4 linked regions of the Saccharomyces cerevisiae S288C genome follow. Changing the gene in region 1 together with any one later gene gives a genetic interaction. Each region holds a gene or a part of one and is shown in the gene's direction. Other genes may lie near its edges. The genes, in order: ECM15, DDR48, SFM1 and YFL064C.

Region 1 (2,669 bases):
TTTTGGTTGGGCGCCGCACCAAATATTAGCCTGGAAAGGTTTATCTGCATATGGTTATCAACAAGTAGCTACAAGATTGGCTTATAGGTGGCTGTACATGATTACAAAATCATTTGTTGATTATAACGGAATGGTGGTAGAAAAATATGATGTGACAAGAGGGACTGATCCGCATCGCGTTGATGCGGAATATGGTAATCAAGGTGCTGATTTTAAGGGCGTCGCTACAGAAGGCTTTGGTTGGGTGAACACAAGTTATTTGCTCGGATTGAAATATATGAATAATCATGCAAGAAGGGCTCTCGCTGCTTGTAGTCCACCATTGCCATTTTTCAATAGTTTGAAACCCTCTGAGAAAAAATTGTATTACCTATAATATTGACGAACATATGTAAATAAGATATATGTTATATTCTTCTTTCTATCAATAACCATGAGATTGTGCCTCAGTAATATTTGAGACGATTTAGAGTAAGGTCAAATATTATTATTAATCAAGTTGTGTAAAGGCTCATTTGTGAAGGTTAGAATAGTAATCGATGATTTTCAAGTAAAAGTGTTTGAAGGGCATTTCAGTAACATCTTCAAACTAGGAGTTTGTTGAGACAAAAAAGTCTGATTTTCATAAGATCATAACTTACGCTTTGAAGATCGTTATGAGTACCTTGTAGCTTGCCAGATCTTCTTGCTTATTCTTAAGCTCTTGGGTAGTACTGTATAAGACTGCTTGACATCGGGAACACTATCATTACCGTGTGATAGAATTCTCGTACCAAGCCGGTTCACCTTTGCGTGGTCTAGTGCATAGGAAGAATGACTAATAGAAAGCTTTCATTTCTATTAGTGTCTTAAATGCGAAGAAGGTATGGGAATCTATTACATACATGAAGAATATAGGATCTGTATATCGTCGTCACCGACGTAAGGTTTTTTTGTCAATTCTCGGTGAACAATTTTTTGCAAGAAATATATTGATACTTCTTGTTGAAATATTTTTCTTTTTCGGAAAACAAAAACATAAAATAATTATTTAAGAAAAAAAATTAATTAATAAATTTAAATAGAAAATCTTTTTTACTTAATAATAATTAAATAAATAAGTCACATGATTTATGTAGGATCAATTTGCTCAAGATTAATTTATTATTATTGATATTAGTAGGTGCCAGTTGAATAGCTATATTTTCAGTCTGTTTGAACGTTCTTTTTTTCATTTTCTGCTGAAAGCAAGTACTCCTACTTTTATTACTTTACATGTTATCGGAGGCCTGCACAGACACTTGTATCCTATACTATCAAGGTAAATATGATTGATTGATCCTCTTGGGAAATGGGATTTTAAGTTTTGTTAGCATTCTGGTTTGCCAACCTGTTGGTAAAGCACTATTTTTCAAGCTTTTGCAACGAGATTTGTCTCTTTGATTTTTTATTTATGATTTCTAACTTTTTACTTTTAGTTAAACTATTAAAGAATAATTTTCGCAAGGTACATAGCGATTTAAGTAGTTCAGAAAAGAAATTATTTAAAAATTACTCGCTCTCTTATTTGAAATGAAGATGGTTTTCAGACAAACTCCTACACAAGCTTGTTACTGGCTTTCAGTCCGAAAACAGCTCCAAACCCTTTAATAAAACCTTTCGTTTCTTTTACTTTTTATTCGAATTATATAGCTCTTTGACATTCCTTTTTTAGTATGATTCAAGCTCCCCTCTTTTCCACCCCGTGAAAAACAGAATATCATTAACCGGGATTCACTGACATCGTCAAAAGGAGAGATCAAGATATTCAGTTTTTGTCATTGCCGTCGTGATCATTAACTATAAAGCACATAAACTACAAGTTTAGAAAATGCCCAAGATCTTTTGTTTAGCGGACGTGTGTATGGTCCCTATTGGCACCGACTCTGCTAGTATTTCTGATTTTGTTGCACTCATTGAAAAAAAAATCAGAGAAAGCCCATTAAAGAGCACTTTACACAGTGCAGGAACAACAATTGAAGGGCCTTGGGATGATGTGATGGGTTTGATTGGCGAAATCCATGAATACGGTCATGAGAAAGGATATGTTAGAGTACACACTGATATTCGTGTTGGGACTAGAACTGATAAGCACCAAACTGCTCAAGATAAGATCGATGTTGTTTTAAAAAAAATTTCTCAATGAATGCTCGTGTAGTGAACCTAAATAGGGTATATCTTTAAGGAGAGTTTAAGAAACAATTTAATAATAACTGTTTGCAAAATATCTTTCCCAATTTTTTTTGTTTATAAAGTTATATATATACATTTATACAACTCCCTTCGGAGGCTGATAGACTAGACCCTTCCAATCATATCTGGACAAGTAACAGAACCCTAATGTTACAATATATAAAAAATGCCACTAATAAAAAGAAAACATGACTAAATCACAATACCTAGTGAGTGACTTAGGCTTGAGTAGAGGAGGAGTATTTGGTAACAGCCCTAGTACCTTCGGAGACGGCATGTTTAGCCAATTCACCAGGTAAGATCAATCTAACGGCTGTTTGGATTTCTCTAGCAGAAATAGTGGATTTCTTGTTATAAGCGGCCAATTTAGAAGCTTCAGTAGCAATTCTTTCAAAGATATCGTTAACGAAAGAGTTCAAAATAGACATAGACTTCTGGGAAATACCAGTGTCTGGGTG
Region 2 (3,747 bases), on another chromosome or scaffold:
ATGTACAGGAGATTCCAACACCCATTCTGGTATCAACCAGCATCGGACTACGAATGGAACCATAGATGTGAATACGAATACTGCACAGCTAAACAACCAATTTTCTAACGCACTAAATACTATCTTACCTGATCAGCAGCATAATCGAAATAATGTTTCCCAAAATATAAACCAATCGCTCCCTAACCGACAACTTGGTCCTGTTATAAACACACAAGCCAATCAGAACCAGTCGCAGGTTTTAATTCATAACACAAATACACATCAGCAGGTAAATCGCTCGCCTATTAGTTTCCCGAACGCTTCAACTGACAAGCCATTCAAGTTGAACCCAAATGGGATTAAACGGCGCAGAAGAAATACGCAAAGTAACAACAATGCGAGCACAAATGACCATGCTAGTGCTGCACAAAAGCCCATATCAGCCCTATCTCCATTAACGAATTCTCATAATTCTACAACTAGCATGAATTATACCAATTCTTCCATTCATTCAGGCGTCACCAGTGCTTCAAATTCATTTCATGACTTAAATTCATTGAATAACTTTGGCACGACAACAGCTTTAAGTTTGCCCAGCTTAGCCCTAGATAACGCTTCTTTTCCCCCAAATCAAAATGTTATACCCCCTATTATAAATAATACCCAGCAGCCTCTATCATTTTCCCAATTGATCAATCAGGATAGCACGACATCTGAATTGTTACCGAGTGGTAAGTCAGGGGTGAACACGAATATTGTAAATAGAAACAGAGCTTCTACTCTACCGTCGTACCCAAAACCAATGACAGTGAAAAGTAATGTCGACGATGATGGCTATCAAGAGGATGATGATGATGACGGTGATGACGAAGGTGATGGAAGGGATAATGAAGAAGACAGCACTGCTGAGGAAGATGAAGTAGATGATGAAATCGAAACAGATATGAAGAACGCTTCGATTAACAAGCGGAGGAGGAGCTTGCATCATAAAAAAAGTAACTCTTTAAACGGTAGAAGAAAGCTTCACGGCGAGTCGGCTACTAAGCCCAACATAAACTCTGATTTACATTATAGGATATTGAAGGCTCCCACTGACGTAAAGACTATATGGGAAGAGTATGATACTGGAATAAGAGGAAAGCCATCGATCAAGCATCTTGAGGCCAAGTATGGTAACAAGTGGAGGCTCAATAAAAATAAGAAGACCTTTTCAAGGCGAAAAAGATTGTACAAGTTCATTCTGAACGGTATGGAGAGAGGTAAAACGGCACAAGAGATGATAGAAACCTTAGAGAACAAAAGGCTATATAAAGATGATGAGGATGGCGAAGTAAAGAAAAGAACCATTGGCTGGTTGCAAGAGAGCCTTGCTGGAATATAGGCACGTACGATAGTAAATAATCGTTTACAATCATAGGAAGGAAGGAAAAAACAAGTGTAACATAAATACATTCTGTAAATCTACAAAAATCGTTAGTGCTGTTTTCTTTTTGAGATTGAAAAGTACGAATCATACACATCTCTTATTCTGAGAAGGGTGCATATGACGTAAATCAATGCGTACAAAGCGGTTTCCGGTGCTGGCCTGGCCCACCACAGTTTTGGCGTGGTTGATTTTAAAAACCTTCGGGAAGGTGAAAAAACCACTCCGAAGGTTCGAGGATGACAAATCGCCCCTTAGCTGTGGCCATACAAGCTTGGCACCGACGAAAAAGGGAAAAAGGAAAAGAATGTCGTACAAGAACTCTTACAACCACGTTGAGATTTCATTTAACAACGCCCCCCTTTCCATTATATAAGAAGGCATTAATTTTTATGTAATAAAAAAAGAATTTCTCGAAAATGTCTTACAATTAATTTTTTCTTTTGTAGAGTAGGGCTTTAATAGACTGATATATACGGTATTATAAGTGAACGAAAAAAACAGCAATGGGTTTATTTGATAAAGTGAAGCAATTTGCTAACAGCAATAATAACAACAATGATTCTGGCAATAACAATCAAGGCGATTATGTTACCAAAGCTGAGAATATGATCGGCGAAGATAGAGTCAATCAATTCAAAAGCAAAATCGGAGAGGACAGATTTGATAAGATGGAGTCCAAGGTTCGTCAACAATTTTCTAATACCTCTATAAATGACAACGACTCCAACAACAACGACTCATATGGTTCTAATAACAACGATTCATATGGTTCTAACAACAATGATTCATATGGCTCTAACAACAATGATTCATATGGCTCCAACAACAATGATTCATATGGCTCTAACAACGATGATTCCTACGGTTCTTCCAACAAGAAGAAGAGCTCTTATGGTTCTAACAATGACGATTCGTACGGCTCCAGCAACAACAATGACTCTTACGGTTCCAACAACAATGACTCTTACGGTTCCAACAACAATGACTCTTACGGTTCCAACAATGACGACTCTTACGGTTCGTCAAACAAGAATAAGAGCTCTTACGGTTCCAACAATGACGATTCTTATGGCTCTAACAATGATGATTCATATGGTTCTTCCAACAAGAAGAAGAGTTCTTATGGTTCCAGCAACAACGATTCGTATGGTTCTAACAACGATGATTCATATGGTTCTAACAACAATGATTCATATGGCTCTAACAACGATGATTCCTACGGTTCTTCCAACAAGAAGAAGAGCTCTTATGGTTCTAACAATGACGATTCGTACGGCTCCAGCAACAACAATGACTCTTACGGTTCCAACAATGACGACTCTTACGGTTCGTCAAACAAGAATAAGAGCTCTTACGGTTCTTCTAGCAACGATGATTCTTACGGATCTTCCAATAACGACGACTCTTACGGTTCTTCCAACAAGAAGAAGAGTTCTTATGGTTCCAACAATGACGATTCTTATGGCTCTAACAATGATGATTCATATGGTTCTTCCAACAAGAAGAAGAGTTCTTATGGTTCCAGCAACAACGATTCGTATGGTTCTAACAACGATGATTCCTACGGTTCTTCTAACAAAAAGAAGAGTTCTTATGGTTCCAACAACGATGATTCATACGGCTCCAGCAACAACAATGACTCTTACGGTTCCAACAATGACGACTCTTACGGTTCCTCTAATAGAAACAAGAACTCCTATGGGTCTTCCAACTACGGTTCATCCAACAATGATGACTCTTATGGTTCATCTAATAGAGGCGGTCGTAATCAATACGGTGGTGACGACGATTACTAAGTTTTTGGATGTCTTCGATAAAAAAAATATATTATTGTGTTTAGACTTAAGTATGAAAATTTTATGTATGAGCTGTGGCTATGTATCCGCTGGCAAATAGGTCTGCTTTTTCTACACTTTCCACCCTCAACCTAACAGAGCCCGCTGGCACAAATAATCGATAGTAGGACAACAGAGCTACTCCTTCTTATGCCCCGCCCCTTTGAGCTTGTTGTATTGCTCTTGATAGTTGTGTTTTTCACTTTCATCAGCATCGGTAGTCTTGCCGTCCTTGTCTTGACTAGCCATTTTCTTAAAAGCGTCACTCACTACCTTTGCATCGCCCTGCAATTTTTCCTTTGAGCTCTGAAATATTTCGCTCACTTTTTGTTGGTCTGTATTCATTCTGGATGTCTTGGTTGTAGAAATTTCTTTTATTGGTTCATTAAAGTCAAGGTAAATGGCGAGAACTAGAATAGAGTTTTATTCTTTTTACCGTTATATAGATAATTCTAGCCGGGGGCGGTCGCCCCTGAGATTCCCGACATCAGTAAGACATAGTAC
Region 3 (2,783 bases), on another chromosome or scaffold:
CCAAATCGAGGAGCATTGAAACAAAGTTAGAAAAGAAAGTTTCAAACCTCTTCAATTTATCGGACTTTTTACAGTTGTTCAATGGTAATGCTAGTAAAGATCAAGATGATGCACAGAGCTTGGAAAAGCAAATGGAAACAGACTATAACAATGCAGATAACAGTCAAGGCGCTAATGCTAGTAGCAAAATAGAAGATGGCAAAAATTCGGGCGCAAGCGATAGACAAATTAGAAGTAACAGAAGAGATGTGGATAACTTGATACTATGCGTTCACGGTATAGGTCAGACTTTGGGTAAGAAGTACGAATACGTAAATTTCGCACACACGGTAAATCTACTTAGGTCTAATATGAAAAAAATCTACAATAATTCTGAGAAACTACAATCATTAAACACAGCACCTGATTATAAAAGCAACTGTAACGTTCAAGTGCTACCCATCACCTGGAGGCACTCGATAAGTTTCCAAACGGATGCTAAGGAGGAAAATATAGAAAATCCTGACCTACCGACTTTGTCACAAGTCACAGTAAATGGAGTGTTACCCTTGAGGAAGCTACTGGCTGACGGTCTACTAGATATTTTGTTGTATGTCGAACCATACTACCAAGATATGATTCTACAACAAGTAACCTCTCAATTGAACAAAACATATCGGATTTTTAAAGAATTTAATCCAGAGTTTGATGGGAAAGTCCATTTAGTGGGCCATTCGTTGGGTAGTATGATATTATTTGATATTCTATCCAAACAAAAAAAATATGAATTAGAATTTCAAGTAGACAACCTGTTCTTTATTGGCTCACCAATTGGATTGTTAAAGTTAATTCAAAGAACAAAAATTGGTGACCGTCCCGAATTTCCCAATGACTTGGAGAGAAAATTAACCGTACAGAGACCGCAATGTAAGGACATTTATAATGTTTACCACGTCTGTGATCCCATTTCTTATAGGATGGAACCTCTTGTTAGTAAAGAAATGGCTCATTACGAACAAACTTATTTACCACATTGTAGTGAAGCTTATGGACTAACTTCTAAAGTTTTGGAATTTGGCGAAAACATATGGAAAGATTTGCCAGGTACTGATGAAAATAATTTGCAGTCCAAAAAAACTTCTCCAGAAAAAAAAGAGGTCAAGTTATCAGAAAATCTTACGAGAATGCTTACAGGTTTGAATTACACCGGACGTCTAGATTATGCTATGTCTCCAAGTCTGCTAGAAGTGGATTTTATATCAGCTATAAAATCACATGTTTCTTATTTCGAAGAACCGGATATTGCAGCGTTTATCCTAAAAGAAATTTTAAGTAAACATGAAAATGCATCAGAAATATATGTAAAAAGAAAGACTGGTTGATCAGTAAACGCAAGGCACAAGTTTTTTTTAACTTTTTTCTTTACTGTCTATTATAGTTCCACTGTGTAAGGTTGTATTCTTTCCGTACTTCAACTTGCGGGTAACAGGATTGACACCTTTTCAATTTTTTCCGTTATTTTGGATTAGAAATTTTCGGTAAGCTCATCGAGTATTGTAAAAGAGCAATGCCCTTTGCTTATTAGATGTTGAGGGGCATATCTATTGTTAATATAGATTGATACAGCTGTGGAGATTATTTCTAGATATACGATGAAGTACATTATTGAGCATATGGAGGAAGGGTTTAGTGAATGGGTCATTTTAGAGTATAGCCAAATCCTGAGAGAAGTAGGAGCTGAAAACTTGATTTTATCATCGTTACCAGAGAGTACCACGGAAAAGGACATCCCTCAAAGGCTACTAAAACTTGGTTTAAGATGGACTACAAAGGATTTGAAGGGCATTAACGAAGATTTCAAGGATTTGGAACTGTTAAAAGATGGCAGAGTCTGTCTATTGGACCCTAGGGCTACAATCGATTTACAGCCGGAGGATGCTACGAAATTCGACTATTTCGTATTTGGTGGCATATTGGGTGATCATCCTCCAAGAGATCGTACCAAAGAACTAAAGACTGCCTATCCGAATCTTTTAATTAGCAGAAGACTAGGTGATAAACAAATGACTACGGATACTGCCATAAGAACAACACAGTTGATTATCAAAGACAGGATTGCATTTGAAGACATCAAGTTCATTGACTACCCTGAATTTAGGTTCAATAAAAATGAGGCCACGGAAATGCCATTTAGATACGTTTTAGATAAAGAAGGTAAACCTATTTTGCCTGAAGGGATGTTGGATTTGATCAAGAAGGATTCTGCTCAAAGTTTGGACGATCTGTTGATGTAGATGAGAACAGTCCTTTAAGTAACATTCTATGGTTGTAATAAGTGATGATGCTTCCTTGTCAAAGAGTTAGTTGAAAAGTTTAGGGTCGTAGCATTAATTATATTGTATATAGTTCAAAAACGACATTCAATGAAAAAATCAAGTTTATTAGCCAATGAATATTTCGTATTTTGCGTTAGTAGCGCTACCAAGACTTCTGAAAAGTGCATGCAAGAAAAATAAAAACAAGGAACCGTTTACTTTTATGATATCATCATTGTCAGGCCAAATAGGATAAAATTGATTGGTTGTATTATGCTTTTTAATTGAAAAAAAAAGTAGAAACTTTTATTATTTTATTTAAATTAATTTCTTTACATTACTTGCATCTAAAACCAAACGAGCTGGTGACTTCAAGCACTGCACTAGTTGCCATGGCTTTGCTAATTCAGACGACCCCCTTGAGGTGAAAAAATAGTCTCAGTAATGAAACAATCATAGGCAATTAGTTCGATTTTTTATAATTATCTT
Region 4 (2,801 bases), on another chromosome or scaffold:
CAATATATGGAATAGAGCATAGTGGTATGACGGTATTAAGGAACATTTAAGTTAATGACCTCATGGTGGTATTGATACGCAATTGAGTGTGTTTATGTATTATTGTTGAAGGATAGAATATTTTTATGTTTAGGTGATTTTAGTGGTGATTTTTTTGTAATATTGGCATAAGTGTATATAAATTGAGTGGTTAGTATACGGTGAAAAAGAGGTATAACGTATGTATTAAGGGCATTTATACAATATTTGGGGCCGCGGAATAAGATATAAATATTAAAATGTGGATAATAGTGGGAGTTATGCGTAAATGGCACAGGGTATAGACCGCTGAGGCAAGTGCCGTGCATAATGATGTGGGTGCATTTGTACTCATGAAGTGAGAGATGGGCCATGGAGTGGAATGTGAAAGTAGGGTAAGTTGAGATAGTATATACTATTGTAGCATCCGTGTGCGTATGCCGTATCAGTATACAAGTGATGGTGAGTATGACAGATGGGGCATGGTAGGGTATTGGCAGGGTAAGTATGTGTGCATTGTTTACGATCATTTGTTAACGTTTCAATATGGAGGGTAGAACAACAGTACAGTGAGTAGGACATGGTGGATGGTAGGGTAATGGCAGGGTAAGTGGCAGTGAGGTTGGATATGGGTAATTGGAGGGTAACTGTTATGGTGGATTTGTGGGTTGGTGGTGGGGAGGCAGGGTAACGAGTGGGGAGGCAGGGTAATGGAGGGTAAGTTGAGAGACAGGATGGAAGGGTTGGATTAGGGTAGGGTTGAGGTAGTATTAGGGTGTGGGTGTGGTGTGTGGGTGTGGGTGTGGTGGGTGTGGTGTGGGTGTGGTGTGGTGTGGGTGTGGTGTGTGGGTGTGGTGTGGGTGTGGTGTGTGGGTGTGGGTGTGTGGGTGTGGTGTGTGTGGGTGTGTGGGTATATATATGTCACTGTATTGCATGCTGGATGGTGTTAGACAAGGCCGTAGGGACATATAGCATCTAGGAAGTAACCTTGTACGAAAATAGGCAATATTTCCTGTTTAGGCGATTGGGACGCAGATTTTAGTCCAACGATCTAGCGTCAAGGAATTTTTTTATAGTGGGACATTGCACCAAGGAAGTAACTTGATACGTCGTGGGTGAATGGGTCTGTTTTCTTATTCGGCGGGGTAATACATTTTTGGGGGAAGTTTGTCTGTCTGACGCGCCATATGTAGGTACGCCAAAAAGGGCTCCTCTACTTCGAAGCGCGAGGTCGTATACCTAATAAGGAAATGTAATTTATAACTTTCTATTATATTGGTCTTTTCGAGAGCGGAAGAAGTTGTAGGCTAAGCGCAGGCTAAGCGTAGGTCCATGTTTGAAGTATCCAAGAGAATATCCACGAATCCTGGTTCTCCTCGACTAAGCAGATAGTTAAGATACTGTGCACCATGGAAATTGAAAACGAAAGTGCGTACCGACTACTTTATTTTTGCAGGCCGGAAATCAAGCGATGAATGAGACATCCTTCTGTTTTCTATGTTGTGCTTGAAGGGGACAGACAGTCGCTTATCTTAGTGAGATTTCTTATTAACTGAATTTTCTTTGCTGCTGCTGGAGATTTGCACCTGCATAGCGCAGATTCTGCATCTTCTCAATAGCTTAATTATTACATTCTTAGATGATGATAAGACGGAAACTGGACAATCTTTTGTTTATATTGATGGATTTCTTGTCAAAAAGCATAACAATCAACATACTATTGTTAATTTCGAAACTTACAAAAATAAAATGAAAGTTTCCGATAGGCGTAAGTTTGAAAAAGCAAACTTTGACGAGTTTGAGTCGGCTCTAAATAACAAAAACGACTTGGTACATTGTCCCTCAATAACTTTATTTGAATCGATCCCCACGGAAGTGCGGTCATTCTACGAAGACGAAAAGTCTGGCCTAATCAAAGTGGTAAAATTCAGAACTGGTGCAATGAATAGGAAAAGGTCTTTTGAAAAAATTGTCATTTCCGTCATGGTCGGGAAAAATGTACAAAAGTTCCTGACATTTGTTGAAGACGAACCAGATTTCCAGGGCGGACCAATCCCTTCAAAGTATCTTATTCCCAAGAAAATCAACTTGATGGTCTACACGTTGTTTCAAGTGCATACTTTGAAATTCAATAGAAAGGATTACGATACCCTTTCTCTTTTTTACCTCAACAGAGGATACTATAATGAGTTGAGTTTTCCGTGTCCTGGAACGTTGTCACGAAATAGCGAGTGCCAGGCCGAACGACAGCTCTACGATGCGTACTTTCACTGACTTTGTTTCTGGCGCACCTATTGTAAGGAGTCTTCAGAAAAGCACCATAAGGAAATATGGGTACAATTTGGCACCCCACATGTTTTTGTTACTACACGTAGATGAGCTATCGATTTTTTCTGCATACCAAGCAAGTTTACCTGGCGAAAAGAAAGTCGACACAGAGCGGCTGAAGCGTGATCTATGCCCACGTAAACCCATTGAGATAAAGTACTTTTCACAGATATGTAACGATATGATGAACAAAAAGGACCGATTGGGTGATGTTTTGCGTGTGTGCTGCCCAAGTTGAGAAGAGATACTAACAAAATGACCGCGGCTCTCAAAAATAATTGACGAGCTTACGGTGATACGCTTACCGTTATCCAGAGCTACAGCGCAACGTATACGTCGACGATACAACAAGAACGGTTCATCGGAGCCTCGACTAAAGACGCTTGACGGACTCACTTCCGAGCGCTGGATTCAATGGTTAGGCCTTGAAAGCGACTACCATTGTTCATTCTCTA

What was found.
Region 2: mutations in ECM15 (region 1) and DDR48 together harm fitness more than expected from each alone (negative genetic interaction), as found in Saccharomyces cerevisiae (one large-scale study listed by BioGRID).
Region 3: mutations in ECM15 (region 1) and SFM1 together harm fitness more than expected from each alone (negative genetic interaction), as found in Saccharomyces cerevisiae (one large-scale study listed by BioGRID).
Region 4: mutations in ECM15 (region 1) and YFL064C together harm fitness more than expected from each alone (negative genetic interaction), as found in Saccharomyces cerevisiae (one large-scale study listed by BioGRID).

Annotation. Positions count from the first base shown.
Region 1 is NC_001134.8:236,648-239,316, reverse strand, and holds ECM15 (Ecm15p), read left to right. Parts: upstream 1-1,849; coding exon 1,850-2,164; downstream 2,165-2,669. Other genes in the region: alpha,alpha-trehalase NTH2, read left to right, coding at 1-376; HTB2 (histone H2B), read right to left, coding at 2,430-2,669.
Region 2 is NC_001145.3:606,778-610,524, forward strand, and holds DDR48 (DNA damage-responsive protein 48), read left to right. Parts: upstream 1-1,911; coding exon 1,912-3,204; downstream 3,205-3,747. Other genes in the region: HOT1 (Hot1p), read left to right, coding at 1-1,363; PAI3 (Pai3p), read right to left, coding at 3,382-3,588. UniProt on the Saccharomyces cerevisiae protein: DNA damage-responsive protein that may be required for maintaining the rate of spontaneous mutagenesis. Shows low ATP and GTP hydrolysis activity.
Region 3 is NC_001147.6:372,288-375,070, reverse strand, and holds SFM1 (protein-arginine N-methyltransferase SFM1), read left to right. Parts: upstream 1-1,631; coding exon 1,632-2,273; downstream 2,274-2,783. Other genes in the region: DDL1 (putative carboxylic ester hydrolase), read left to right, coding at 1-1,361. UniProt on the Saccharomyces cerevisiae protein: S-adenosyl-L-methionine-dependent protein-arginine N-methyltransferase that monomethylates ribosomal protein S3 (RPS3) at 'Arg-146'.
Region 4 is NC_001138.5:2,813-5,613, reverse strand, and holds YFL064C (uncharacterized protein), read left to right. Parts: upstream 1-1,767; coding exon 1,768-2,292; downstream 2,293-2,801. Other genes in the region: YFL065C (uncharacterized protein), read left to right, coding at 2,276-2,584.